3 linked regions of the Drosophila melanogaster genome follow. The protein of the gene in region 2 interacts with the protein of the main gene of each other region in a pairwise test. Each region holds a gene or a part of one and is shown on either strand. Other genes may lie near its edges. The genes, in order: CG42820, CG1598 and Shrm.

The links.
Region 1: the proteins of CG1598 (region 2) and CG42820 interact in a two-hybrid assay, tested with the Drosophila melanogaster proteins (one large-scale study listed by BioGRID).
Region 3: the proteins of CG1598 (region 2) and Shrm interact in a two-hybrid assay, tested with the Drosophila melanogaster proteins (one large-scale study listed by BioGRID).

Annotation. Positions count from the first base shown.
Region 1 is NT_033779.5:8,386,952-8,397,693, forward strand, and holds CG42820 (uncharacterized protein), read right to left. Parts: upstream 5,448-10,742; 5' UTR 5,345-5,447; coding exon 4,925-5,344; intron 4,858-4,924; coding exon 4,333-4,857; intron 4,259-4,332; coding exon 3,134-4,258; 3' UTR 2,930-3,133; downstream 1-2,929. Other genes in the region: CG13384 (uncharacterized protein), read left to right, coding at 1-427, 708-880, 940-1,184; CG42819 (uncharacterized protein), read right to left, coding at 1,878-2,318; Acp29AB (accessory gland protein 29AB), read right to left, coding at 5,556-6,260; lectin-29Ca, read right to left, coding at 6,609-7,319; Peritrophin-15b, read right to left, coding at 7,582-7,853, 7,921-7,930; Peritrophin-15a, read right to left, coding at 8,762-9,030, 9,102-9,111; CG13385 (uncharacterized protein), read left to right, coding at 9,789-10,742.
Region 2 is NT_033778.4:7,537,732-7,547,221, forward strand, and holds CG1598 (uncharacterized protein), read right to left. Parts: upstream 1,966-9,490; 5' UTR 1,860-1,965; coding exon 1,747-1,859; intron 1,684-1,746; coding exon 1,566-1,683; intron 1,482-1,565; coding exon 1,041-1,481; intron 982-1,040; coding exon 643-981; 3' UTR 501-642; downstream 1-500. Other genes in the region: Gpo2 (glycerophosphate oxidase 2), read left to right, coding at 1-452. UniProt on the Drosophila melanogaster protein: ATPase required for the post-translational delivery of tail-anchored (TA) proteins to the endoplasmic reticulum. Recognizes and selectively binds the transmembrane domain of TA proteins in the cytosol.
Region 3 is NT_033778.4:14,302,894-14,313,745, reverse strand, and holds the start of Shrm (shroom), read right to left. Parts: upstream 5,605-10,852; 5' UTR 5,453-5,604; intron 1-5,452. UniProt on the Drosophila melanogaster protein: Binds to Rho-kinase Rok and targets it to the apical cell cortex where it mediates apical constriction.

The sequences.
Region 1 (10,742 bases), on a different chromosome or scaffold from region 2:
TGCCTGTGCAGATTTACCTGCTTATAATGCTTGGACCCATGATCCTGTTGAATCTGGTGCGGAATCTGAAGTATTTGACACCCGTTTCGCTGGTTGCCGCCCTGCTCACAGTTGCCGGACTGGCCATTACATTCTCGTACATGCTGGTGGATCTGCCGGATGTGCACACGGTCAAGCCGGTGGCCACTTGGGCGACGTTGCCTCTATATTTTGGAACCGCCATCTACGCGTTCGAGGGAATTGGTGTTGTCCTGCCCTTGGAGAACAATATGCGCACACCCGAGGACTTTGGCGGCACCACAGGTGTCCTCAACACGGGCATGGTGATCGTGGCCTGCTTGTACACAGCTGTCGGGTTCTTCGGCTACCTGAAGTACGGCGAACACGTGGAGGGCAGCATTACCCTAAATCTGCCGCAGGGCGACACGTAAGTCCTTAAACTTTCCATTGCTAATCGGTTTTAGTTGTAAGACAGAGGGATTTAATATTTCTCATGCTGATATACATAATCTACATGCTCTTGCTATTTGAAAAGCGCTATTCGAAATATTGATAGTTCAGATAGTTAAGATCGTTATTAACTTTACTGTCTAAATAATTTTAAATTACATGATAATAAAGCTAGCAAAAGGTGTTATAACAATTTTTAATGATATTCCCAGACTGCAATACTAATATTTTAATTGTCTTCCTCTTTACATATTTAGACTTTCCCAGTTGGTGCGGATTTCAATGGCGGTGGCCATCTTCCTCTCGTATACGCTTCAGTTTTATGTGCCTGTGAACATCGTGGAGCCCTTTGTGCGAAGTCATTTCGATACAACGAGGGCCAAGGATTTGTCAGCAACTGTGCTGCGAGTTGTTCTGGTCACTTTTACCTGTACGCATAGATAGTCAATATTTAAAATGTTCCAATTATCATCGTATTTTATTTCACAGTCCTGCTGGCCACCTGCATTCCCAATCTAGGCTCCATTATCTCGCTGGTAGGAGCCGTCAGCAGCTCAGCTTTGGCCCTAATTGCACCACCCATAATTGAAGTTATTACATTTTACAACGTTGGCTATGGACGCTTCAATTGGATGCTATGGAAGGACGTTTTAATCCTGATCTTTGGACTCTGTGGCTTTGTGTTTGGCACCTGGGCCAGCTTAGCTCAAATCCTGAACGACAGAACCCACTGAGTTTAATCGAAATAAGCGAATCGAAAACAGAACCTGGCTAGTTCTGCCTACAAATGTGTGCGAATTTATGACGAAGGCTTTATGTAGTTACACTCAGACTACGAATATGTTTACCATTAGTTGTTTACCATTTCCCAACTGGTATCGGTCCAGTCCAGTGGCGGTGCTTTAGTGTGATTAATTTATATTTATGGCAAATTAGTTGCATTTTTTTTTGTTGTTATCAGCCAGCTGCAATCGTACCAGACAATAACTAGCATTTTAAGTAGAAAGTTTTTCAACATTTGTTCAGTTTGTCAGTTGGAGATTATTTCTGTGTTAACTCGATGACCGCACAATGCCAAACGTGATTTTACGTAGTATTCTTAACTAAATTATTATTTAGCTTTTACTATGTAGTCTAGGTCGGGGCAGATCATTCCAAAGCAACTGCTAAGAATTTCCCAAAAACCGAAATTAGCTAATGTTATCTGCATACTTTTATCGTTCGATTATTTGTAATTATACAACTATAAATACATATATATGTATACCCCTAGCCGTACTGGTCCCGAAATGGGACCTTCGATAAAGTTTTGTAAATACATCAATTCGGTGTATCAACAAATGTTCTTTAATAGTTCAATCGGTAACAAAGACAATAATTAATATAATGTTTATAAAAATCAGTACAATTGATGTTATTTAGTATTCCTACCACAGGGCTTGAATGGTCACTGGGAATGGGATTCCATTGGAATTAGCCACTCTCAATGGACTCGATGAGAGCAGAATCAGTCCTTGAGCTCGTGGACCGTTCCTAATCTGCTTGGTCAGGCGAGCGGGTGCCTGCTGGACAGGCTGAACTTCCTCTGCATCCGGATCGGGTGTAAAGTCTTGCGGCTCCTCATCGCTGGGTAGCTGCTCAACTGCATCGGTAGGCGGTGGGCCGTAGGTCAGATCCGGTGGTCCATATGTCTGATCCGGAACTCCTTCCTCGAATGGCACCTCCGGCTTCAGTTCGTCGGCGGATGGATAGGGTGCTGCCTGCTGTTTCTGAAGTTGCTTTGCCAGCCGTGCTGGCTGAGCTGAAACCGCTCCAAGTGCCAGGACCAGAACCAGCAAGGAACAGGATGACTTCACGTAGCTGCGCATATTGGCTTTGACGCAAGAGATACACGAACTTATGAGGGAACCGTTGTTGATTGATTGATAACTTTGCTGTTCATTACCTGTCTTTTTATATGTTTTTCGGGTACTACGTGGATGGATTAATCAATTTTTGGTGGTAAAACGTGGTCGTTTGGTTAATGACTGGGTCATCCAGTGGCCCTTGTGGTCATTTGGAGTTGTCGTCAATGTCACGTTGCAGGTGCCCAAAACGGGAAATCAATCAGCCCATTAATTTCAGTGTCAATGTTAGCCAGAATAATTTTTTTTATGAGTTATGGAAAATTATAATAAATACACATTGCATAAATATGTTTTAATACATTATTAAAAGTTGTTATATGCATATCACTAATTTTCATGCAATGGGCTCTTAAAATTCCCAAGTTCTTTTTCCGCATGGAGTGCTTATAAAGCGCGACAAGTGTGTGGTCCAAACGTGTTGTTTGGAAGGAGAGCAAGTTAGCACTCCCCTAGACAAGGATGGAACACATAAACGGTCGGCTAGGCACAGACAAAAGCCGTCCACAAATTTTTTTAAATCTTATGATAGCTTAATGCCAAATATCCCTTAATAAAATAGAAAAAACACATCAAACATATACATTTCTATATTCAGAAGCTCTACTTGTCAAATGGTAAAAATAGTCAGAGGTATAAAAACATATCAATTTAGTCTTGAACTTATCACTACGCACTAGAGATTCAAATAATTGAATGTCAGTCAGTCATGACCACTACATCGGGTATTGTAAAATCTTGTTCTTACAAAAAATCCTGATTTAGGAGCTAAGGTGTGCTTAGCCATTTTTACGAGCTAAGTAGTAGCTGAAGGTGGGATCTATACTCCTGACAGAACTGGGCAGATAAGTAAAAAAGGTACGACGAATCCTGGAACTGTTGACAAAGCGCAGGCTGTGCTGCGCCTGCCAGCAGAGACGGGATTGCTTCAGGACGATCTGAAGGACTTCATCGCGAAATGACTTCTTAAATTTGTTGGATTTTTCCATAATTTCCTTGTGCAGTGCATATGGAATGGGATTTTGTTTTACGATCAGCGGATCTATATTAGTTAGCAGCGGAATCAATTTCTTTTCCATCTCCGACAATTTAGCCATATTGTGTCTGTAGCTTTCGAAATCCGCATGGCTTTGTGGACCATATCGCTTACCATATCTCCTACAAATCCATTCCCGTACTTCCGGAATTTGATGGCCATTGTGGAGGCTGGCCAGCACCAGTTTGCTGTCGCGACGCAAGATTTCAAAGCCATCGCTTAGCATTTGGTCCATGAACTTGTCATCATCGGGATCGATTCGCTCGCGATTGTAGACGAGGCGTTCGATGGAATCCTTGGGTGTCGGCGTAGTCGGCACCGCCAGCAAACTCTTCTCAAAGATTTTTCTCACACATCGGGACACGGCTTCGTTGATGTGACTTCTCCTTATCGGCCCCGATGCAAGGACTCCTTGTCGATGCTCATTTTTTTGGCCACCGAGTGCTTCCATTAAGGACTTCTTAACGACATCATTTGTGTCCAAAGACTGCTTGCTGTTCCTTTTGAAAACGTGTGGATAGTTGAAGGCGAAGGGCTTGTGGTCTCCGGGTGACGTGAAATATTCAGGTATGGCAATAGAATCCTCCTCCTCCTCCTGCTCCTCCTCCGCCAATACATCTGGTTCGCCATCCTCACCAGCGCAGAGTCGCATCAGCGCACCACTCCTGTCGTACAGACGTCCCCATTCACCTTCGAGGAGTAGCACCTGGGGAGGAGTGTCCAAGCTTACGTGCACCAATTCGTTGCAAGCAACACAACCGGCTTTCCGGAAAGCAGGCACACCAGGACTCCAGCCCTTGTCACCAAACTTTAGAAGGTACTCATCCACGTCGCGATTAATGTGATGCAAAATCCGTTCCCTTGTAAGCTTCACCAGAGAAATGAATGTCAACAATTATTCATAAATTAATTATAGATAATTTTGTTAATAGGATTACTCACTCGCTTTGCGGTCCCTTCCAAGTCAATCATATCCAAATAGCGTCGTCGCTGCTCTTGCAGGAACGCCTGTCGCTCCTGGGTTCGAGTTTCCTCATGGAACCCGCACAGATCCCTCGCTTTCTGTGCAGGATCCGTGGTAACCTCGTCTATGTGGTCGAAAAGGTGACACAGTTCGTGTTTGATAACTGCCTTAACTGTTCGCTGGATGGGATGAAACTGGAAGTCGGCATACCAACGGTCCTCATCTTCTTTGGGATCGCCCACTTCGTTAGGGATCTGAATCTTTAACAGCGGCGAATCCGACAAAAACTGATTAGACCGACGGGGAGTGGTTTTGGGACGTGGTTGCTTTTGAAAGTAGTAGCTTTTGCGCGAAGACGATGGTTTCTTTTTAGTTGTATGCGAGGAAAGAACTTTGTCCAGAGCTCGAAATGTAGCCGGTAGATCCAGTGGCATTTCTTCATCTATATTTTGTGGATAGGTCTTAGAATTCGGTATTATGATGGAAGGCCGAGCAGAGCGATTCTGAAAGAGGGCAAAAGACCAAAACTTCTTTTTAATATAATAGTTTTAACTCTAATTAGCAGCTTACATTATTAATCTGTCGATTTTTCATCTGTATCTTGGTTTGCCCACATAAAACACCGGGTAGAGGTAGCACTTTGTCTAGAGCTCGAAAAGTTGCAGGCAAATCCAGATAGGCGATGGCCGAGAGCAGAAGTTGTCCATTAACTGAGTACTTTCCGCACGAAGTGCCGGTGTCGTAGTGCTCCTGGAATAGAAAGTAGAGAAAGGCCAGTTTCTGGCCACGACTGAAACGCCAAATTCTATGGAGTTCACGATTTCTGATCAAAGGTTGCACTCCCAGGCGCAGCAGACAATCCCGAATGGACCTAATATCGAATTGCAGTGCCGTTCCCAGCTCATCGGCCGCCTGCATCTGATCGAGCGATAGACCACGATACCAACTAGCCACGGGTAGTCCCAAATCAACACCTGTATTCTTTACCATGTTCCTAGCAAGTGGATAAATTCACAAGTAAAACGAAGAACAAACAATTTAAGAAACTTGGTAAATTTTGTGGGTGTTGCAAATAGCTTGAATGAGTGAATTTGGAAATAATACTCAGTGCAGACCTGTCTACACTGTGTTCATATACAATAAAATCATTAAACGAGCTGTTTTTTTTTATTCAAGCTACAAAACAATATTTTCTTTATGTTTAGGCCCACTGGTCTGCTTGGCAAACGAAAGATTTTTTTTCAAAACACTCATCATAGGACATCTCTTTAGCATAGATGTAAACGCATTGATTCTTTTTTTTTGTATCCTGATTACTCTTCCATTTGACAAAGAAGGGTTCTCGTCCGGTTAGGGTGGAGACGAATGTGCCGCCATTTTCAACCAGTTTGGATATATCTATCCAGTAGCTATTGTTGGGTGCTAACGCCAAGATGCCATCCAGCTCCATCTCATCCTGGATGTTCGCCAGATGACCGTTCATTTTACGACATGTGACATATGCCTCAAACCAAGTTTGCATTAGATTCTTCTCGATGTGAAAATGTCTGGAGCCAACTTTCTCGAATCGTCTCATCTTGATGTTGTTAGACGCTTTGATGTTGGATGCATGGTGTCGCATTATAATCTTTAACGGCTGAAGCTGGATTTCCATCTGGGCCTTAAACTCCAGCAAGCTACTTGCTATGCGCATTTCCATTGTATCAATAATTGCCAATGTTTCGTTTTGTTTAAGCGCGTTGTATGTAAACCAATAATTCTGGTTAATACCAATCTGATCGATTGTATTTTGCGGCGTTTGTGGACTTGGCAATGTAGCCTTTCCGTTCGGAATGTCCTGCTGCCCACCACTGAGATCCCAAAGGTTCCATAATGCCAACAGGTATAAGAGGTTAGATGCGTACATGTCCAGTTTGGAAGATTTCAAGCGTGTGAGATCCAATCTGGCTAAAGAACTTCCAATGAGCTCAACTAATTTTGTCACGCTTTTTAATGATAATGTAACCGTTTTAAAGCATCACTGTGAAAAGCAAAAAGGCTGGAAAAATTAAAAAAAATGAAAATCTACTATGGTGTATTGAAAAAAAAAAATATAAAATGCCTAAAGTTAATAGCTTTATTATTAAAGACACATTGCAATTTTGATGATTTAAAAAAAATACATATTAAAGTTTAAAGGAGTTCAATTTTTAAACCTTTATTATCAAAGTCACATTTAAAGTTTAAAATAGTTCTAAAAATCAATGCTCGATATTCAGGCCCATTGCTCGGCTTGGCAAGCAAAATAGTTATCATTGGCACAATTTTCAAAGTACATTTCATTGGAATTGATATACACGCAATGGTTATGTATATTTGTGGCCAGATTTGGCTTCCATTTCAGAAATGGTACATCCCTTCCGGATAGTGTAGAAATCCAGGACGCTCCATCGTTGGCACGGCTGTTGATATCTACCCAGTACTTTTTTTTGGTTTCCTCTGAGAATATTTCATTCAGCTCCTTCTCATCGAGGATATTCGCCAGGTGACCGCCCATTTGACGACACGTGTCGTATGCGCTATCCCAGGGCATCTTCTTTTGCTTTTCTAAGTAAAAGTGCCGGGAGCCAATCTTCTTGAATACGGACATTTTGATTTTGTTGGACATTTTAACGTTTTCCATGTAGGGTTCAATTTGTTGCTTTAGAGCCCGAAGTTTAGTTTCCATCTGGTTTTGAAAGGACTGCAATCGCATTTCTAAGCGTTGCTCCATATTACCAATTCTCCACAAAGTTCCATTTTGTCTTAGCGAATTGTAGGTAAACCAGTGCTGCTGGTGCATATCAATATTCTCGATTGTATAATACGGCATTGGTGCTTTTGGCAATTCATTTGTTCCTGTGGAAGTATCCTGCTTTTTGGCACTGACGCCCCAAAAGTTCCATAAAGCGAAAATGGAGAAAATGCAAGTTGCGTACTTGTACATTTCGAGGGCTAATAGTCTGTGAGATCAATTATTTAATTCCTCCTCGGACTAACCCTTTTTTTTACACTTCCCAACGAGATAATCACCCGGAACATTAACCTTTTCAAGCATTAAATACTCTGTTAAAAATTCGATAAAGATCCGAGAAATCTAGAGATATATTCTAGACTTCATTCAAGCCCATCTTCCCAGTTAAATACCATTACAAATGAACCAAAAAAAGTTAATGAAAAACGTATAAACTGCAAGAGAAGTTTATTGCTTAAGTGGATGCTTCGGAACATGGAGGATACCACTGCCAAACGCTCCAATCGACGCAGCTTCCAGTTTTCGGATCGAATCCAGTGTTCTGCTCGCAGGCAACTAGCTCGGCCTGTCCGGTGCTAGAGCACTGCCAGTAGTGGGTTGGATCCCAGAAGTCACGGGAAATCTCTCCGGAGCGTCCCACGCAATCGGGCTCACCATTGCCATCGGGATTGCAGTCAAGGTCGGCGTAGATGGCAACGCAGAGGGTCAGGAAGAGAAGGACTAAAGCTGAAACAGAATTCCGCTATTGGCATCTCAATGGTTTCAGCGATGTGAGGTCATCAATGAAACTCACCTGCTTTCATTGTGGTTTGTTCGAGTGATTAATACCGAATGCGATTGGAACGCAACGTTCGACATTTTATAGCCACCTGCTATCTATTCCCTGACATATTGTCTGAGACAATCGGAGCTATACATTCTATTTCTTAAAGAACATGAAATCGTTTAAAAATAATCTCATGATCACGATTGGTATCTGTATCTCGACAATTCGAACATTTGACGCCGTCGTACAATTCGTTTTCAAACAAAGAAGTATATTTCACCAAGTGTTGTAGTATACTTAGTTATGATATTAAAATATTATTGAACAAAAAATTTGCATATGATTTGTTTGAATTGACCGGCTCCTATTTAGACAATTTATACCCTGTAAAACTTTACACACTGAGACACAGTGTTTTTGAAATAAACAAACAAATTTTGAAACCAAGCTCTAGTTAAAAAATAAAGTTGTTTGTAAAATTAAAGTATATTGTTTATACTTTATATGATAAAGTATAATTTACTTTTCTCTCGTTCATAAACATTTTATTGCATTAAATGCAAATTAGTAGCAATACGAGTACTGTCTAATCTTTATAGGTTTCCAAGATATCATTTGGACAAAAACATCTCAAAAATGTTATTTACAAATAATAATGAAACTCGTTAACACTCAACTGTACTCAACATCCTATAGAAAGCGACTGAGCAGAAACAAAATATTCTATATACCAATCTAGGTTGCTCTATAACATTTTCCCATATCTTCGAATACTCGCAAGAACATGAGATATTTTAAAAATCCAAACAATGTATGTAATCATTTAGTTTGCCATATATTTTCATTTTTGTTGTTATTAAAAATGCAATCAACAGTAAGCAGTCCAAGACCATTCGCTCCATGAAACGCACTCCTTCTTTGTGGGGTCGAATCCAGTGGACAACGGGCACAACACAGCCGTGGCCGTGGAGGTGGAGGACTCACACCACCAGTAGCGAGTGGGATCCCAGAAGTTGCGGATGTTCGTTTGCACGTTGGATGCGTCGCTGCAGTCGGGCTGGTTGTCAGAATTGGGATCGCACGCATTTCCGGTGCTTAGGAGCGCCACGAAGAAGGCAAGGCAGATCAAAAGTAGTGCTATGGGATCGGCAAAGGGTTGAAGTATATTTCAAATGGGGATTCCTTTTCGATTTGCTCAGCTAACTTACCGGACTTCATGGTGCAATTGAGTTCCCACTGGTTTCGTAAGTGTGCTTTAACTGGGCGAATTCGCAAGCTTATATACCCCAGACCGGCACTGATATTGGCTTTCATCAATAGCAGTTATCTCCGTTGGCGGGAAGCCTGTGCGAAATTCTATTTTGGCAGCGACATGAAATCGTTTCAAAATAATCGCACCTTGTATCGCCCACCGTATCTGTATCTGTATCTCAGCGCATTGTACGCGCCCCTAAGTTTTGTTGACGCAATAGTTTGATTATATGGATGTGTCGTAAAGGTCATGCCGCGTGCCACAATCCAAACTGGGTAGCACTCCTATCAATAAGTTAAATATAGTACAAAACTAGGACAGTAAGGTTTATAATCGAAATTTAAATTTGGGGGCTTCTATTCAAATACCTAATACTTAACCGTGGGGAACCCCACATTCTTAACGCAAACAAGTCATTAGAATTACGCATTTATATTTATATTAATATACTACCCTTAACTGTTGGTGATAGCACTACCGCACTACTAACCTGGTTTTTAATCAACCCATCCGCTATACCGTATACCATACATATCGAAATATAAAACTCCAAAATATAACATTAAATCGCAGTAGGTGTCACACAACTAATTATTTGCGATATTAATGATTACAAATTGCTCGTGATAAATCTCCCATAGCGATGGAGTCGAGGGTCACCAGCGGCACAGGTCCACCGAACACCATTATGATCCAGCTGGTGTCCCAACAGCCCAGTTCCTGTGGACAGATGCAGGCCATGCCCATTTCGGTGCAGACGATACCCTTGTTCCCCAATTCCAGAACATCGACAGAGCGACCTTGTCGATCGGTCTCCATTGCCCCGAATGTAAGACCTCCAACGGATGTCCCTCCTCCTCGAAGGAATTTAAGAATCCGACCCGAGGAATATGCGACACCCAAGCGGAAGAATTCGCAAAGCCAGTTTCGTCATTTCTCCCGCAGCATAAACCAACCTCCACCGGTGTACTATGTTCTTCGACCAGAAGACCGTATTATGCCCATCTACATACCACCTCCGAGGTTTAACAATGAGCAAGGATCAAGGATGGCGACGGAGTGTCCTTGCTGTGGCCATGCCAAGTCATTGAACCCGGAGGAACCTCTAAGAGTCCACGTAGCGCAGAAAGAGTTTGTCAAATTAGAGAAGGCAACTCCTGGACATCGGGATCAATGTACTAACACCATTGACCAGCCAGATGTGGGAAATATAAGGACGATTTACGAAACATTGGGACGCGCAATGGTCACTGCAGCCGTGGAGGCAGCCCAGAGATCCCAGCCAGCAGGACCCTCAGATCCGACAAATGTAATATTGAAACTATTAACCCAATTGGGGGAGCAGAATCAAACAACAGGCTTGAGTCCACATTCAGAAGCAGTAGCAGAAAGTCCCGACCACCAACCACATATGCGCAGGCCCAAAGCTAGCTTTACGGAAGCAGTCCGCATGATGGAGAGGACCTCGTCTGATCCTTCCATTGCTAAAGGGCCACCAGATGAGCTAGATGACCAACGTAGGCTTCCATCTGTACTCTCCGATGGTCGTCTTCGCGTCGAATATCCGAAAACGCCTAGACCAACACCAACATACTCC
Region 2 (9,490 bases):
ACTGGTCGCGAGATCAAATTAAAAAGCAGATCCGCCAGACGCGAACTTTTCTTAACTCCCAGATGGGCCAGCTGACCAAGGAGAGCGCTTCGCAGATGAGCATTCCCATTAAGATGAGCGTGCGCCAAGTGCGCAAGTTTGCCGGGCAGTTCAGGCAAATGGATGATAACAATACGGGGTACGTGTCGATTGCAGACTGCTGCAAGGCAATGAAAACGATGGGCGTAAAGGAGGTGCCCGTCGACCTGATGCACGATGTCCTGCGGGACATTGATGTCCATGCCCAGGGCAAGGTGAACCTGTATGAGTTCCTTCTGCTCATGTCGGCTATTGTGCAGGGCAACACCGAGTACCTGCGGTACGCACGGCTGTATCTGGACCACAAAAGGCAGATGCAAGGCAGCAACTTTCCCACCGTAATGCAAATGGAGCGTGCCGGGGGCGGTCTTTGAAAGTATCATTCGTTGTAACCCTCTCCAGTTTGGAATACTGCATCCGTTAAGCGTTGTCTACGCATTACACGTCGAAGCAGATCCCTTCGGGGATCGCTGCCTCAACTTTAATTTATTTTACGCACTTTCTGTTCACACAAACTAAGGAAGAAACTTACAAACGGATGGGTAAAGGGTTGGACGGGCTATCCTATTCCTTGGGCTCGCCCTTGGGGTTGTAGGGCTTCATAAGGTTCTCGGAGAAAGAACGGATGCTCTCTGGACCGCGCACCTCTTTCTCGAGGAGCGGCAACTTGGTTACGTGGAAGTCTTCATACAGGTCGGCAATCTGGTCCAGGTACTTCTCCTGAATCTTGAAGCGGGAGGCGCACATGCTGCACGAGTCGTGCGAGTTCTGCAGAAACAGCAGTTGGTTTACAATGATGTTGTGGACGTCGATGCCGCACTTGGTTAGCTCTTGCACAAGTCGTTCCGTCTCGTACAGCGAGAAGAACTCTGCTATGCACACGCAGACGAATGTAGTTTGATCCTGCCGAAGGACGAATGCGGATTAGGCGTTGTACGAGCTAAATACATGTTTCTACGTACTGGGTTCTTGAACTGCTCGTTGACCTGGGTGATAACGCGCAGCATGTCGTCCAGCTTCTGGGAGAGTGTGTCAGCGTTCACATCAGCCATGCCCAGCATGGAGACGAACTGTGACAGCAGGGGCGCCACCTTCATCTTGAGCCGCAGCAGCTTGCCCAGCCCCTTCTCCACCACCTGGGGAAATGCAATCAGACGCAGCGTGTGTCCCGTGGGCGCCGTGTCGAAGACGACTACCGAGAAGTTCATGCCCTTGACCAGCTTCATAACCTCTGCATAGCTCATCGCCTCGTCGATGCCGGGCAGGGCGTTGATCATCTCCTGCATGACGCCCTTGCTCACGCGCAGCGCCTCATTTTCGCCATCGAAGTACTCCTCGGGCAGCTCGTTGAGACCGGCATTTGGATCGATTTCCATGGCGAACAGGTTGTCAAAGCCATTTACCTGGTTGCGGAAAAGGAATTGCGATGTGCTTTAGTTTAGCTTATACAATGGTAAATGACTTCATTTCCGGATTCTTCCACCAACCTTTGTCGGCACCTTGGTGAACTTCTGATCGAATGCATCCGATATGTTGTGCGCCGGATCTGTGGATATGATTAGCACGGATTCGCGCACTTTCGACAGCTGAACGGCTAGGCTAGAACTATGTTTAACACGAAGATTAATTAGATCAACCGAGAAAGTTGGCTTGTTGTTGTTGTTTTACCTGCAAGTCGTCTTGCCCACGCCGCCTTTTCCGCCCACGAAGATCCACTTGAGGGAGTCCTGCTCGACGAGATTCTGCAGGCTGGGCTCCAGGGGCTCCAAATTGTCGGCCATAATGCCCACTAAAGCGAGACACGTATGAAATTAGTTGAAATTAATAATTGCTTATAAGCAATGAATATGACTTCTGGCGTGCAGAGTGACCGTTTTTAGTATGCATACGTATAAGTTGATAGGCACTAAAATCAGCTGATCACGAAGCACTGCCAGGGATGGATGCTCATTTGGCGCCAAAGGAAAATTATTTGAAAATAAAATTTTGCAAATCTCAATAAACTTGACAAAAGTGAGAACAAAACTGCCAGCGGTGTGAAACTAACATAAGTTTCAACTAATTGTTGTTGTTATAACAATAGCAAAAAAATATTCTCAAATCTGTTGCTGCGTACATGCTCAAAGCTCCGCCGCTTTTATCGTGCCTATTAAATGCACAAAGCGCGCTCGCAGCCCAAGAAAATCACAATAAGTGCCGCGGATGCTTGACCCGTCCCCGTGTTCCCCGCGCCCGCTCTACCCATCACTGTTAATTGTGCAAATCGCGAGCTTATCAAAACCCAAGTGTCGGCGAGAAAATGCGAGCAGCAAGGGAGCACAAACCCAAGTGGCTATGGACTACTAAAAATAGTTGTGAAAACACCTTCGCCGTTGGGCGTCCGCGTTAAATAGCTTCGATTTTTGGTATCTTCGTGTCATTATGGGCTTCACCCCAAAACCACATCGATTTCCGTCCATTGCCGCCTAGTTTTGTCGTTTACTGAACTCGGCGTATATAGAGTTATTTCAACTTATCACAGAATACGGAAGCTGCGCTGTAAAATAATACTTATTCCAAGAGCTAGACCATTTTTGAGTGACTCTGTGGATGTTATTGTGAGTGGATTGCAAACATTGGATAAAACTTATTGAAAATAACATTTGATTTGCACTTAAATCAGATATATTTAGACGATCATTTTAACGGGGATTATTAAATTAATAAACGACAAAGGTATGTACTCAAATAAAAGAAATTGTTTGTTTTCATAAAACTGCTTCCATGCATGTATACTGATAGTGGATAAATACAGTTTTAATATAGTTTTAAAAATGTATAGTATTTAAACAAAAATTAGATGGAAGGGATATATATATATATATATATATTTAATGGGCCATTGGTTTGGACGATATTACATCAAAAAAATATACAAGATGAATGTAATATTTGAACAAAACCCTTTTTATCTTTTTTTTTGCAATTATAAATATACATATATGTATATCTAATAGTTGAGACAGTTGACTATATTTTTTTCTGTTGATTTATTTAAAAAAACTGATAACTGTGAACCTTAAAGTTAAACTTTAACACTTAATTTCTGTTCTGCGCTGTGCCCACTTGTGTGGGCCTGAATACGTAAGAAAGTTTATCATACTCCTCGATATTGAATGCGAAAAATGTTATCAAAGTTGATGAGAAAGTTTTCCTATCGCCTGTTTAAGCAGCTAAATTAAAAACAGATCAATTAACGTTAAAATCACACACGCTTGACAATTTGTTGATATTAACTTATCGCCAAGCTGAAAATATATTGTACAACCAAAAATATTTTTTTATTTTGATACAGAACGGCTTATTGAAAACCCATTTATGGCTGTTAAAAGTTGAACTGAAAAAATTGAGAACAAATCGCTTGGTGAAAAAACAAGAGTGTTTTTGCCTCATATGCGTGTAAATCCGTTTTATGCGACTGAAACGATTCAATCATTCTGGCAGTGCTTTTTAAAATAAAGCGATAAAGTTGGCTGGATGATTTATTTATTTGCCCAGCCCTGGGCTTTCGAGATCCGCTTTTTGTCTGTGCGTGCGTGCGTTTGTTGGCCCATGAAATATGAGCGCATTAAATTTTATTATATTGTTTGGGCCATTCTCGGCTTTGGTCCAAAGCACACACTCGCACTCTCGCACACACAGCCACAGGCGCAAGGACAGCAAACAAGCGGAAAGTTCAAAGTCAAACAATAACACTTTCCATAAACAAAAAACCCAGCTCCCACACACACACACACATATGAACGGCTAATTTGCTTGAAATCAGCGATGGGAACGTTTCAGTTACCGTTACCTGAGCTCCCCCACCTCCTGGCACCTATTCCCGCAACTTCCCATACTAAACTTTCAACGGGAAACTTTGACCTGTGATGGTGAAAGGGCAGGGGAAAGACATATCGCTTCGTTTATGTGTAAAAGTTTAGGAATTCAAAATTTTTAATGTGTATGTATGTAGTTTATGCGTTAATTGGTTTTGAATCTGGAAACTGATCCTTTGTCCAAGCCATGGTTTGCTGATTTTCTTAGTTAGATTTAATTTTTAATTTTTAATATTTTATCCAAACATGTAATATTACGTTTGTTTTTGATCATTTTTGTTACGGAAATTTTGTTAAAAATGCGTTTATACATAGGTGTTACTAAATCAAATATTAAGTCAAAAGACGTCGTTTTTCAATATACAAATTCTTTGAAAAGGTATGTACATATATTCCTATATAAGCGACATTAGCTATTGTCATAAAAAGCTAAATTCATTTAATGGTACTATGTTTAAAGAGGATATTTTTTTATGTTTGATGCAAATTAATTTGCATTTGCAAATTTAATTTCTGTAAAATACATTATCTTAAAAACATATCTAACCATAAAAACACTTCGCATAAACGTAGAATGTATGTTTTGGATCCGTAGAAAAACCAACATTGAAATGGGCACTCGCGCGCCGCTTTTAATAAATGTTTCTGTCTGCATTTTGTTAGGGGCTTTTTCGCCGCATTTCACCTGGCCGAGCTTAGCTTTATATTCATTGTCCTTCGAGTCCCTTGAGTCCTCCGAGTCCTTCGAGGGCTCACTTTATCAAAGCTTAGCACCTGACAATTTGCCGCGCGACATGCGGCTATCTTTCCCCTGTTCTGGAAAACTGTAATGAAAAAGTACTTTGTCTCCGCACTTCTCCATACAACTTGCGTCGCCGCCGGTGTTTTCCACTTTCCGCAGCTCGCTGTCTTTGAGCAACTAATTAAATTAAATCCGATTAGTTTGGCGTGGCAAGTGGAAAGTTTTGGAGTCCTTATGGCATTCCTCGCTGCTGCACTCTCAATATGCCGGAGCTCCAAAATGAGGATGCGAGGGAAGGACTTACTGGAGCCTTAAAATTCTTCACGGCACCTAACAAAAGGAGCGTTATGGAAACAAAGTTTTAATTAATAGGCCTTTGCCACAAAGCCTTCGATATCAAATGCACTTTTCGGCAGGTCTGGAACTTAAAAAGAACGAGACAGAGAGCGCTACGGTCGATTTCCTCGACTATCAGATACCCATTAACGTTATTTATCGACTTTTAAGACTCATTTTATTGAAAAGCTAATGCTTTTCATTTTTGCATACTTCAGCGCTATCTTTATTGAATGTATATCTCTTATTATTTAGCGCTTAACTAACTGATTAACGGGTAACTCACAGTCGCTACAAAAACATTATTTCATTTGTGGTGCAAACTACCCCCTTCAACGAAATATTCTTTCTACAATTATATATACATATGTATTATTGTGTATCATTGAACTAATTTAAACAAAAACATTCGTTTTTTTTTTGCTTAGAATAGGTTTGTCAAAGAGTTGTGTATAATATTTTTAACAATCCACAAAAAGGTACAAAATTGTAGGGCTCCCAGTTGCTTTAAGACCGAATATCTTGCTCTCTTACGCTGGTCCGTATTGTGATTAACCATTTGGGGTTTTCCAAGGGTCAACGTGTTTGCTTAGACTCAAACCTAATGGACAACCTGTGATGAAAGCTTTCATTAAACAACAGCATAGTGGGCACTCCCGGTTCAAGTGGCCTTTGGGGGGATTTGCCGTGGGAGAAGGCGCTTATTAACGCCACGCCAAACTGCCACTCATCCGAAGTGGGTTGTGGGTGGTGGGCGTTCGTCGGGTGGCATGCAACAGGCTGTCTTGCCAACGGAGTTTTCCGAGCTCCGCTGACAGCGCGTCACTCAGTTTTCCCTCGCTGAAATCCCGCTGACTCACAGCTCGCATTTCTGCATAAATTTCCACCGTACGCGACACTCCGTTGCGGAATTTCGATTAGCGACCGCTCTGGGCCGTCGCTGTTGGCCGTGACTTTGAATTGGGCCCTAACCGTCGAACAGTGCACTTCGAGGACATCCAGTTGCAGCAGACTGTCAAGGATTTGGCGGTGAGTAGGCCACGTCTTGATAAATTGAGCAAGGGTCGACAGGCGCTGAATATGATTGATCTTCTGCTGGGGATAATTAGCGCACTCGTTGATAAGTTCAAAAGTCACACAAAATTCAATTAAGGAATACGTTTTCCGGTGGTCTAAATGATATATCACCATTAGATAACTGTTTAACTGTTTCTAGGACTTTTGTAGCTTGTGGCGCCACAAGGATGCGCACACACACGATTGCAGGCGTCGCAAGTCAGTGCATTTATCTGTCTCTAAGGGCAAACATTTCAATTGCACCTGTTAACCGTTGGCTAAATTTATGACTTCCTCACTTGTTGTTGCGTTATCCTTTGTCTTTAGTTTTCGCTCAGTTGGGAGTGCGATACTATAAAGAGAGGGCGAGTGAAAGAGAGGTCTAGGCGCATCAAGGGAAATAAACACACACAAGTGCAAACGCAAGTACACCACACAGTAGCAGGAGCCAACAACATGGAATCTTAATTCGCACACAAAGCGCATTATCCGAGCAGAGGTGAACCCGCCAACCCTTCTCATCACCGCCTTGCTCACTCACCTTGGCGGATGGTGGGTGTGAGCGGAGAGTCCAAAGGAGGAGAGGGGTGCCAGCTGTCAGCCGGCAAATGGCTTTCACTTTCCTTCCACAGCCATCCAAGCGTGGTGAGTTCGGCGCTCGCTTTCTATCTCTTTACCCCGCTCTCTCTTTTGCGTTAAGAGACATTGTTTAGCAAATTAATCTTCAGTAAATAATATAACAAATGAGTTTTTTTTAATTTATCTGTTTTTATTTCACTTTCAATCTGAGGAAAGTGAAATGCACTCGTCTTCGAATATTGATCATACGCAGTGTTGAACGCGATAAAAAGACCTTTAAACCTAAAATATCGAAATTATTTTGATGACCTGGTAATAGTCTCTAATAGTGCAATGCATTAGGTATAAGGATACCTAAACTTAAATTGTTATTTAAATGCCTTTTTGCGAGGTGCACCTAGTCGTGTACGCAATTTTTTATTTATTTTTATTAAAACATTTAAATAACTGTACAAAACAATGTACAAAAGTAAACATTTTGTAGATGTTACCTCGAGTATCAAACATTACCGGCTTTATTAGTGCCTTTCTATGAAGGACTTAACCAGAACATTTGGCTTCAACTTTCAACTGTAAGTGAAAGCATTAAGCTTTTGAATAATCCACTTATCCACTGTTGCAAAAACTTCGGATGCCTCAGCTTGAAGCGCTCTCTTTCTACCGGCAAACTCACCACTGCCAAAGAGAAGGTCCTGTGGCCAAAGAGCGAGAGAGAGGCTGTTTGAGTCTGTGAAAATTGTAATTGAAATTCCAGCGTCGCCGATTCGGCGCCTGCAGTGCGTAGGCGGTTGTCGTTGACTGACGTCGTGGCCAACAGCACGTGCTAACCGAGGCGGCGCGTGCAGCAAAAAGTAGTAGCAGAAGCTGTAGTGGCCCACAACAACAGCACAACAACGGCATCAGCAGCCGAGCAGCCAGTTGAAAAGCTACACACGGAATATACAACACACAGCTCTAGTATCACAACAACTAACGCTTTGGGCTAGGCAGAGAGAAGGGAGTGGGCGAGCGGGGAGAGAGTTTAACTTGAGTGAAATTTAAAGCAGTTGAAGAAGAGGAAGCAGCAGGACAATACACCAATGCAGGCTAACTGTAAAAGTGTGTGAAAGCATAGTGAGTGAGCAAGAGGAACGGGGAAAGGGATAGAGGCTGAGAGTGAGTGAGTAGGAATGACAATGCGACAATAAATTAGCTGTAAACTGCACCTTGTTATTTGCACCTGAATCGAAAGTGGATTATATATTTTGCTATAGTATTAATAACAACAACACACAAAAGGAGGCCAGAACAACCAGCCAGCCAGTAATCAAAGTTAATTTACCAACACAAGAAACGTAAACGTGAGTTCTATTGACGCAAATAAGAAGAAGAGGAAAAGCGGGCGAATAAGTAGGCAACAGAAGAATTAGGAGCAGCAACCGGAGGAGCAGGCAGCGCGCAAACAGGATACTTAAAATATCAAGGCAAACACACACACACACAGAGACATACACAAACAGGAGTACACACGCACACGCACTTGCCCGAAGGAGGTTCATATTTTTGGCGAAAAAACACAAAACCACCGCACGAAATAAATAAAATATAAACCCAACCACGTTGAGGTGTATGGCCCAAAGGCAAGGCAAACAAACAGAGCTGAAATCGAGGAGAAGAAGCAGCGAAACATAAAGATGCCAAAATGCTGGACGGAGATTGATGCTGGCTGCCGAAGAACAGCACCCACTACAACAACCACAAGCACAGCAGCAGCAGCAGCAACAACTGCAATAACAATAATAAGGCCGAGACAAACGACAAGCGAGAACAACAGCAACAAGAGCAACAACAGCAGCGACAACCGCCAAATGTGAGCAGACAAGCGACACCAATTGAGATATGTGAGTAACGCATGCAGACACACGTCAATGTAGACAGTGGTGCCTCCCTAATTGCCACCTTTAAAGCGTTTATTTAATTAATAGATAAGGATAACGTTGATTTTATATTTTTATGTAACGGGACGAATAGTAATTGGAGATTAACTTAAAAGTCCTACAGCCTTTCAAATTACGGGGAAGTGAATGAACATTTTAAAGGGTTTTTTTATTATTCTTGTTTCTTATATGTTAGTCGTCGGACATTGAGGTATTTCATTAACAGTTTCAAATAAATAAGCACACGAATGTTTTTATATATTTTTCCATCTTGAGAAAATGGTGTGTGCGAATGAATCTTGCGATTGTGAAGACAGATCATTATACATAGAAACTTTTAAGGAAGTTTGTTTGTTTTGTTATATTTTGGGAAGAATAAGTCTTACTAATCTGAAAATGAGTTCTATTCTACTCGTAAAGTTTGTTTACTGACGCACCCCTGTACAGTGTACACTAACTGAAAATCAAGTTTGGGCGAAGAGCTTTATGCATATTTTTCCAGCATTTAAATGTGAAATGATGTGCTAGCGTATTATTTGACTTAGGCACAAAAAGTGCTAAGCTTCCAGGAGGAGCGAGAGACACAGAGCGCAAGAGACAGCGGAAGACAAAGAGAAAACAGGACGAAGAGTGAGATGAGAGAATAAATTGGTTGAACCTTAGGCAGGCGAGTTGAAGTGGAAAACAAACAGGGCAACAAGGCAGATACACACACACAGTGGCACACGGCGCACCTATGTGTGTCGCAGCCGCACGCATACACACAAGCACACACAGCCTACAGGGAATCACACTTAAGCGCCACGTTGCTCGCTACCCAAGTTGTATCAACTTGTGCTATCCCAAGAACCTCGGCCAGTCGCGCAGCATTTGAACTCAATTTGGAAGGACCAAATACCAACACACTTGCACTCACACTCACACTT
Region 3 (10,852 bases), 6.8 Mb from region 2:
GAATCAGAACTTTAAAAAATATATAGTAACGATTTCTAACTAGAAACATACTTTTATATTAATACTGATTGATGCTAGACATCATTAATCAAATTTCTCGCAGTGCAAAGTCAGAAGACCTAGGCCCAAGCGAGAAGCCTTCAAAGAGGAAGCCTGTTTTCGGGATGGGGGCAAAGTACCTGGTAGATAAATCTGCTTGCAGCCGCTTCAAAAGTGCAATGACATTGCTAAATGCACTTTCATGCCCCCTGGTCCATCAACTTTCCACTGCGAACGCTTTCCAACTAATCGCCAATTTGTTAATTATGGCCGTGGGTAGAATTTTTTGATTTTCAGTTGGTCATTCGGCTCTGAAACTCTTGCCGACAACTGCGTGATTGCCGTTGAAGTGGCTATATATACGGCCATTCGGCTTTTTCGATTTTTCAGCCAGCGAAATTAGACACTTTTGCTGGCCACAAAAATTCCACGTCAAAATGCAAAATGACAAAAAAAAACACAACAAATAATGCGGAAAACATGCAAAATCGGAGTGGCGCCAGCGAAATGAGCACACACACCCCAGCACACGATTGCAGTCCCAATACCAAATAGCCAATAGCAATACCAAGTGCTAGTCGGTCGGTTCCCAGTCAGTTCCAATGCCCAGCTCCCAGTTCCAATTCCAGTTAGCAGCTCCCAGTTCGAGTCCCCAGAACGGGTTTCAGTGGCCAGCCAGCCAATCGATGGCGAGGTCACAACAAATGGCTAAAACCCCGCCAAAGCGAAACGCATTGATCTCTATTAGCAATAAAGTTCCGCCGATCCAGAAGATACAATGCTCAAAGAAAACATAGCATTCTCAACGGTTTCAACAACTTCCTATTTGACTGCTGATATCTTAATCTCCGCAACGAGCATCACTTGAAAGGACAATAAATCACAGAGATATTGTTTTGGCAACCTTCGGTTCTCTTCGTGAACTGTGACCCCTGTTTCCACTTCAGCTAGCCAACTGTTTGCCTATCAGCTTAAATGTATCTGCCGAATATTACCCGCTGCATAGGTGGTCGGTCGCATTCCTAGGAGGACTGATCCGAGATTGAGATGCCCGGATACCTGATGCCTGTTAGCCATAGCCAGCGGCATGCAAAGCGGCCCGAAAGGTCGTCGTAAATCCAAGTTGTACTCCGCACCATAGTGTCAGCCACTAACAAGCGTAACAAAGCAGCGCAAAGATGAATGGCAACTGTTACCTGCTCGGTTATGTGTTATGATTATGTACCTGGGCGGAGGTGTTTGGTTTGGTGGCTTCAAGCGGCACACTTGGAAAAATCCACCCAAGAATATAGAATCGCAATATGTTGCATATTAGCAACTAAATTTAGGGAATTTAAAGTATAACGATGTGAAAACTATTGGGAATTCATATATGCAAAACTTGCAAAATTCTTGTTTATTTACTTTAGTATATATATATTTCAATTAATTTTTTTTCTCTGTGTGCATTCTCAACATTGTCGACTCATTATAATTTTGTCAATTCTCACACAACCACCTGCTGCAGAAACATTCACACAAAGGTGAAGATCGCGAGGCATTCACACTACACAAGTGCACAGCAAAAGAAAATTATAGAAGGTGCGGGATGGGAATGGGGATGGGGATGGGGTCGGGGGGCGGAAGCAGACGCATAAATTTACAATTAAATGCAATTCGTTCGCTGGATTTCCGCAAAAAAGGGCCTGGCAACATGGGCAATTGCAACCTGCTGCAAGTTCAACGCTTTCTTTAGTGCTCCGCCGCGCTTGGCTTGCAGCAAATAACAAAAAAGATGGAAAACGAAATGGGAAAAAGATATTCCCAAGCCGCGCTTCTTGGTAGTTGCAAATGAATACACCCACAGCCACAGCTCGAGAAACCCGCGCGAAAATGCCCCATGTAGAGTGAAAGAGCCAGCAGGAGGCCAAGTGAAAGAGAGGGAAGGCGCAGATTTGAAACTCATTCTTCAGGCTCGGCAGCGGCATTTGTTTATGATCCTGTCAACCAAAAAAAAAAACTACCTAAGCAGATCCCGCGATCCCGTCAATTGTTCCACCTTACTTCCGTCGGATCTCCGCTTTCGCCTTTCGGCTTTCAAATCCCAGAGTCCACATCCTCGATCCCAGATCACAATCTCGCAGCAGGATGCTACATCTCTCTCGTTTGCCCGTTGAAGTTGTAATTGGTTTGGTAAATTGCGAAGGTCGTTGGCTTCAAAAACAAGGTCGTTCGTTTCGCTTATCATTTCCACAACAACAATAAGATGCTGGCCCAAGGTGGAAAGTATCTGTTGTATGGATATGGCAGATACAAATACACACGTACAAGTGGTATGGAGCACAAATATTTGCTTAGCGAATTCCTCGCACTCTTTGCAATGCCAGTACTAATTTGTAAAAACTCGGAAACCCCAGGAAAGTAAGAAAAACGGACTGTATTTTCATTACCAGAATATTCCTTAGAATTATCCATTGTTAGCTTGCTTGTATTGAATCTACCTACATAAGATCTGTAAATTATGTGTGCAATAAAACTGGGCAGTAAGCCCCAATGATTTGCCAGCAGTAGCTTATGTATTTCCGTATAGTTTTCAAAGCAAATACAAGTATTAGTTTAAGAATATCTCGGGAAGGCTTATGAAATTCACCTTAAGCATTCCTGCAGTCTTAGAAAGTTTGATCGCTTCGTAAACAACTTTTGTGGCTTTTACCTCTCGCAAATCCACCTCACATACATACCATTCTATCTCAAATAGTGATGAAATGGCAATTTCTTGGGAAGTTATTTTTCGGACACGTTGAATTCCTCTGGCGATGGTGTTCGCCCCTATATCATTGCCACTGTTTATTTGCTTAGCTGGCAAGGCGGTCACAAACACACATACATTTTTGCGAAATTTGGGAAAACACTCTGCATGTTGTTTTCCCGAAATTTCAGCTTACTATGTGAGGAATTTACAGCTCCAGCGAAACAGATCTCAGCCCAAATTCGCAGCTGTAGATGTTTCCACGGGGTCGTCTCTGTTTCGGTTACAGTTCCACTGATGTTTGCACTACTTAGTTGTGACAGATAAGATTATAATTAGTCTTAGCCTGCCAAGCCGGTAACAGCGACCGATAAGATAAAACTCTACACCCAAAGAGGCAACTGGGTGAAAAATATGAGGCAGAAACGAAACGAGTTGCCAATGAAGTTGACGACGACGACGACGACAATTCAAGTTGGCTGGGAGTGGAAAGCAGATAGAAAAGCCAGTCGTCAAATATGGCAAGGTCGCCTCGCAGCGCATTCCACGGATGTTTTTGTTTGCCTTCCTAATTAAATAGATCATCGGCAACAAACCAATTGGCGCTCGACAACACATCTCTATAATTTAATCAATCTTCCAACGGCAATCACATAAAAGACGCAAAGACAAAACAAATTTTACGCATTTCGAAATGAGTTCAAAACACCCAAAAGCCAAATGTTCGTCACTGAATGCCGCCGAGTGTATTGAACTCGGTCTTTGCTCCACCTCCACCTTTACCACCAGATCCACCTACCTACCTTCCTGGCTACACGGCAAAAAAATCTGAGTGCGTTTGGTGCGGCCCTTAAGTTTTTAGAAGGCATTTCGATGATTAAAGAAAAGTTATTAACACCAGCGGCTATTCTATTTATTGTTTTCTAATAATAAATCGATCAATTTTCCAGCGAAATTACTTAATTACATTGACTTTCTTTCTGTGTAGCAAACCCCCCATTCCTCCCACAAATCGCTGGCAAGTTGAGCAAACAAGTTTGCTTTGAAATTCTTGAGTAGTATTTGATGTTGATGCTAAGCGATCCCCCCAGCCCGTCTCTCCTGCCGTCGGGACAGTTGATAAGTCGTCACATGGAAACGACATGGAAACCCTACGCCTGCTCCGAGTTCCTTCCCCCCAGAATGGGACCCGCCCATTCCCACCGAGTCAACGATTAACGCCCACTTTCCCTGGATTGCAGTGCAGAACTGTCACCTGGGCGATGGGGATTTGAATTATTATTACTGCCCCCTCCCGCTCTTTATCATCCGTTATCTCTGGCAGAATCTGAATTGGATTTCTTTAGCACTCGAGAATTTGTTTTCTCCTAGCTTTGTGGTGGTCTATGCAAATTTTCCACTGTCTTGGGGCCTCTGCCTCTCAGTTATTGTTTGGGCCAATTCAGGCCAAACTCTGCATTTGAATTACATTGAATACGTTGTATCATGTTAGTTGGTCGATTAAACGGTAGTCTAACAACCGAAGTCAGTTATAAAACGTGTGGCTTATCTTTATTCAATATAAACGTATTAAGCTCGCATCTATGAGCTTCCTTAGCATCCCACTTCACCTCTATTACTTGCACCTTTGTTCATTTTCTATATCACTAACCTAATTGTTTCCATTTGTCTTTAGTTGACTCTACCTGCCTTATCAGCTTTTCAATTGCATTAGTGTTTTTTCAACCTTCTTTTGTTCCGCGTTCTAACACTCCTTAATCAATTCTAGAAGAAAACACCTTCAATTTCGAGTTGTCTGAATCTTTTCGTTGCACTAGCTTATGTAATTGCTTTGGTCGTCACACGAACCACTTATTCAAAGATACATTTGCTGAATGAATTTCGTTTCTTACCGCAAATGTGTTTTCTCACTGGTGGCACCCGTCGAAAATAATCCAAAACATGTACCGACATGCCCCACACCTATTTTTTAATGGGGGAGGTTGGGGGATTTTTGTAAGCCAGGTTTTATGGTTATAAGTGTAGAAATGCAAACGAGATCAGTATGGTTTCGTCTTTTAAACTGACCCATGCCAAATGTGCAGCTGCTCTTGAGCTCCACCTTGTCTATATTCCCGTCTCTCTCTGACGCTCTTTCTTCCCAACTCTTTCTCACTCGCAAAAGGAAGAAAAAAGAAGCAGAAGAAGGGGCAGAAGTTTTGAAGCGCGGAAAATGGCAAGCGCCAAAAACTGGTTGGAAAATCCCTGCTGTTGGGGGGAAAACTTGTTGAAGCAGCCACGAAAAAAAAAATGAGAAGACGCAGAAGAATACGATGAAGATAAAGAAGAGGGAGAATCAAAAACTTCTTGCCACCCGCTAAAAGGCAACACAAAGCTCTGTTTTTAAGGCGGAAGAATTCTTCTAGCCTTGAAGGTTGATCTTTGTACACGGGTTTTTTTATTTTGTTTATGTTTGCTGAATTTTGTAATTTTTCGGTCGCATTTTTACACGACACCTTTTGTTTTTGTCGTTTTTTGTGCCGTTTCGTGCTTTTGGTCACTAATTGTTGTTGTTGTTTGTTTTTTCTCCCTTGCTTTTTACACGAGCTTGAGAGCTGATTAAACTTATTCACAGCATTTTCATTGAGTAGAAACTGCATTTAATTTTTTGTGCATTTTCGGTTGCTTCATTTTTTGTTAACTCACAAGCTAGCACACACACACACGAGCACGCGGGCACACAGGTACACAGTACACGGACACGAGCCCCGAATCGCGGGGCATGCAACGCTCTGGGTTTCCTTGGGTTTTCCGCTTTTCCTCACGAACTGCACGGTGCGAGAGCCAAAAGAAGACTGAAACTCGCGATCAAGCAATTCCAATCCCAATCGGGCTCGTGCCCGTTCTCCCTCCGGCTCTCTCTCTCTGCGATTGCGAAAAAGCCGCAGACTACTACTGGCTCACTCCAAGTACACGACTATCCTAGTACCCTGTATTGTAATGTGTGTTTTAGATTTACACAATGTGCTGGAAGAATTTCGCGGAATAACCGATGCCTTATGGTTAATAATTTAAAGTTCCAACATTTATTGAAGAATTTGGGAAAAGAAATATAATTTAAAACATTAACAAAATCCATATTTTTTAAGTTCTTTAAGCTAACAGGTGCTAATATAATGATGATGATTTCTGCAAAATTTATTAATTTTTGTGGAGCACACAGAGAAATTCGCCAGAAAGTAGGCAATGTTTTTTTATTTATTTAAGGATATTATATTTTGGTGTCACATGATCATTTTTTCGGTTTGTTACGTTATTTGTAACCAGTCGATCATACCTTGCATTTTTCAGTTAGGCCACGTTAGCGGCCAGCTGGAAATCAGTCCACCAGAGAGCCGAAGAGAGAGTATCTTTATCTTGAGACACCACTAAGCTGTTGTTGTTGTAGCTCTACCTGCAAGTGTAGCGTGTGCATGTGTGTGCGTGTGAGAGAGAGATGGGTCCAAGACCCAGTGGTAAATTTAGTGCTAAATAATGGGGGTTAGAGCCTCTTATCAAGTAAAGCCGAAGCAAACAGGTATGTTTGTATTTCGTATTGAAAGTCACTTATCTCAGTGGGAGAGGGTAAAAGCGAGAGAGAGAGAGTCGGCTCTTTTCGCTCAGAACCTGTTGCCGCTGTCCAGTACTCATCCATATCAATGGGAGGGGGAAGGGACGGACAAAGAGAGCGCGAGAGAAAGAGGGGCCAAGAAGCGAGCCAAGAACCTGTTGCCGCAAACGGCAAAATGGCAACTTAGCCAAAAACAAAAAAAAAACTGAACCCGAAAAAGCTGAAAAAGGGAATAAGAAGATCGTGCGTCTAAAAGAGCCAACGAATGAGGAAAGCAAGGGAAAACGGCTGATAAGCAAGGCCGTTGGGTCCAGTCTTTCAAAACTGAGTTCTTGAGGACTCCGATTTCGAATCTGATTCTGATTCTTATTCTGATTCACTCAAAGTTGATTTATGTTCTGTTTGCACTTTTCATTTTCAGCGCAAGTTGATTTTTATTTTTAATTAAGTGTGTGTGCTCTCAGGAGAATCAGAAGACGTAGCAGGAGACCCAAGACCACCAACGAAGTCGGGGTTTCGAACTTGAACTCCTTACCAAAAAAAGATCTTAGAACAATGCGATATGTTTCTTTGAAAACTGCACGTTTTGGCTTGCAGCTAACAGGAATATTTATTACCTTTCGTAATTCGTGCAACATCAATATGAAACGTTTTAACAGAAGTAAGTAGTAATATTTGTGAGGATTGAAATACCTAATTTTATGGTCACAGTTTCACATTGTCCATTTCATATTCATACTATATTCTTCAAATTGATCACAATCAGTGAAAAAATATTTTTGTTTTCTGAATTTTAGCATGTGCCCAAAAAAGGTTAAAGCTATCATTCAAAAACAATAAATTAATAAATAAATTAAAACATATTTTTGGCCAAAAGTCTCAAAAGTTTGATTGATAGAATGACATATATGATGTTTTTATAAATCGATTCCTTACATCCCATTTTTATTGTATAATAAATCTTTCTCGACTCAATAAACTGATTTGATAGATTGTGAGTAAAACTAGCAAAAAATCTTTAATGGTTCGTACCTTTCGGTTGAGTTCAAAGTAAAGGTTCTTGGAAAAATGTTTTGAAATGTATTTTTCTTTAAAATATACAACCCTATAATTAAGATTGTAGTAGAGTGATAATTATATATACACACTTATGCATATATGGTTAGAATATGGTTTAGAAACTGATACAATTCTACCTATATTTGGATATAAAAAAACAAAGCAAGAAAAACTAATTTAAAACTCTAAGAACTAGGAAGTAATTCAATTATATTGTAATAGGAAGTAAGACTTCGACTTATAATAGGCTGTGCTCTAAGGAATGAATCTAATTAAATTCGAACTTGAACCCCTTTAGGCCAAATCGAATTGGGCCTCAATCAGTTTATCGGGCATGACCGAACCGTTAAATCGAAAGCTCTCGCATATCGCACGCAAACCAGGTGCTAATGAGGCATTTTGTTTCTGCTTTTGGCTAATTTATTGTTTATGGCCGCGCTAAGAGCGCAGATTTAACGGTACAAGCGAAAGGTTGGCCCAAACATGCAAATATCACTTCGCCAGAATCCCGAAGCCAGAACAAAGCCCAATCAATGGCTATAGTCTAACCACGATGTTTATGTTTCCAGACATATCATAGATCTTCATCTATCTGTTCTTCTATTTCCGTTTGGTTCATTGAACGATTTTAGACGATCTTCACTGGGATCTGACCCATCTGCAATGGCATGGTATAACACCTCCCCATTCCCACTACCAATCCGTATTCCCAATCCGCGGCTCGCACCTCCAGTCGTCATTCCCAATTAATCATCGCTTTGGGCTTGTTGATCCAATCGCATTTGCTTTGCAAAAGACACAAGAGCGTTACAAACTGGTGAAGTGCGAGAGAGAGGGGGCGAAACACGTTTATGGGGATGGGGGTGTACACGTTAAAAAGTCGCGGTTTGGCATTAAATATTAGTAAAGTAGATAACACCGATGAGTAATGCAGACATTCCTGTTTAAATTATTTAACCAACTCATTGGTAAATATAACTTTTTTCGGATTTGAGCAGTCATGGCTTTCTGAAAATTTCTGTATTTTCATTTAAATAAAAAAATTAAAAAACATGAATCAAATTTTTAAACTATAGAATGAGAGGAAGTGCAAAACGTAATTTTTCTAATTAGAATTTGTTGTTAGTAACTTTACATGGTTGGTTATTAACCATAACTAATTGCTGATAACAAAGAGAGTCATAATTTCTTGCAGTGCCTTCAAAGGGAAGCTTGGAATGTGCCGAGACTATCAATCAATCGGCTCTTTCCCCTTTCCGACCAAATTCGGTCTATTGTCCGGCGGCTGTTACCAAATCCGTAGCCATAGACCGGCTCGACTTTCCATAGGAAAAGCCCCGAAATCAGCCGAAGGTTATCGCTTATCCGGACTCCGCTCCGATTCCAATTCCGTGGCCAGGTCCGATCTGTTTAAGCATTCAGGTGTGCGAAACGTGTGTGGAACACACCCTCATCGGCAACGGGGACCCAGATCTCGATGTGCCGATACCGCCACTGGAGACCCATTTAACGTGGGAATCAGAAACCTTCGAACACCAGGGCCCTTTTGCGAAAATAAAAAAAAAAAACATAAAAAAAAATGAGAGACACAAAGTGTTTTGCTAGGAGCGGGCTCCAAATGTGAGTTGCATTTCAATTTCGGTGAGACGATGACGACGTCATCGGCTTTTCTGCTCCATATGGCAGCAAATTTGCATTCAGCCATATGTGGTTTTTTTCACTGGTCGAAGGGGGGAAATTTGAGGGGAGGCATGGCATTTTTAATGTCAAGCAACTGGCCGGCATGCCAAAGGTATTATGACACACATTTCAATTCAATTTTTAGATAAAGATGCGGCTGCAGTTCGTTTTTCGTTCGCTCCTCAAATGTGTGTATTTTTGAAAAACCAAATGAATAAAAAAAATGCAACAAAGACGGACGGTGGACAGCGGACGATGGACGACATTTGTATGGCCGGGGCACTGAAGTTCCGCCATTGGCGATGATGTAAACATCGAAAACAGATTCAGTCTCCCGCCGACCCATTTGTATCTGTATCTTATGGGTACAGTAAATAGTAGATAAATGGGGCATAGGCAGTAAATAAATCAGGAAATCAATTGGTATTTAAAGTAACTCTAATTTTAAAGGAAATCCTAAGGAAATCTTCTTTCTAAAGGTATTATTCGTGGCTTATATTTCACTATTACTACTACACTTTTAAAATAGGCTCATTTAGAACTATATTTTCTTGTATTTACATTTATTTAAAGTGAGGATAGATATTGATCTAATTCTAAAATGTTTAAGAACCAATAGCAGAAGTGGCACAGCAGCTCCACATATTTTATGGTCTCGTTTCGGTCATAATTCTGCTCATGACCAATGACAACTGTGGCGATATGTCTGGCGAAGATCGGGCCGAGATCTTCAGATCAAATCGAACCAGCGGCCGTCCTATAACCTGGTGGCATTTGCTGCGGGCCATGCTTCGGATTGTCAGTTAGTCAGTTGGCCAGTCAGTCAGTCAGTCAGTCAGTTAGCCAGTTCGTCTAATTGGATTTGCGCGCTTGTGCGTAACTATAAATCACACACGAACACAGGCAAAAAGATGGAGCCGTGGAGCAGGGACAACCGGTTTGATTGCCAAGTCACCCGCTCATAGCCAACTGCAGAGATCCCATCGAGCTTTTTTCCTCCTCGGCTCAACTATTTGTAAAGTGACCAAAACGGTAACAACAAAAACCACAATAAAGTTGAATGTTGTTGCTGCTGTTGTTCCAGTTCTTGTTTCCCCGCAAACAATATAAAGAATATAATTATGCGGCTGCATAAAAAACCAAGACGTACCTGTATCTACTTACGCAACGCAGAAAATGTGGAAGAGCCGCTTGTAAAATTTACATGGCACAAGGCCCCTTTGCCGGTCGTGTGAAAATTATTAATGGAGTCACTGTCTCCGGACAAGTTCATGTGTCATGTGTGGAAAGTGTTGGGTATACACCAGCACCTTCCCGGAAAAACTCAATTTTTTTGGGCGGGTTTTGAGTTATGATTTATCTGCCCACCGCCCAAGTTGTAAGCGGATGTTGTAACAACCAGCAATTGCAAATCTAAATGGCCAAGTTCTAGGTAAAAAAGTTGTAAATGTCTATGTTAAATATCGAGTCAAAGATCAACTCAACCCGATCCGATCCCAAAAAACATGCCATTTGCCGGTGGTCTTCCATCAAGCCCCACATGTGACATGAACTTACGCTGAACTTGTAGCTTCCTTCAGCTACTTGAGTTTCACGAGGAAGGACGTCTGTCGGTCATATAGAATTACATAAAACAACAGCGGCATATAGAACTTTAACGAAAGCTGAAACCGCCATATGGCTTAACCGGTTTTGAAAGTGGCGCCAATCAGTCATATATGTGTGAGTACGGCAGCACTAAGCTAATGTATTGTTTC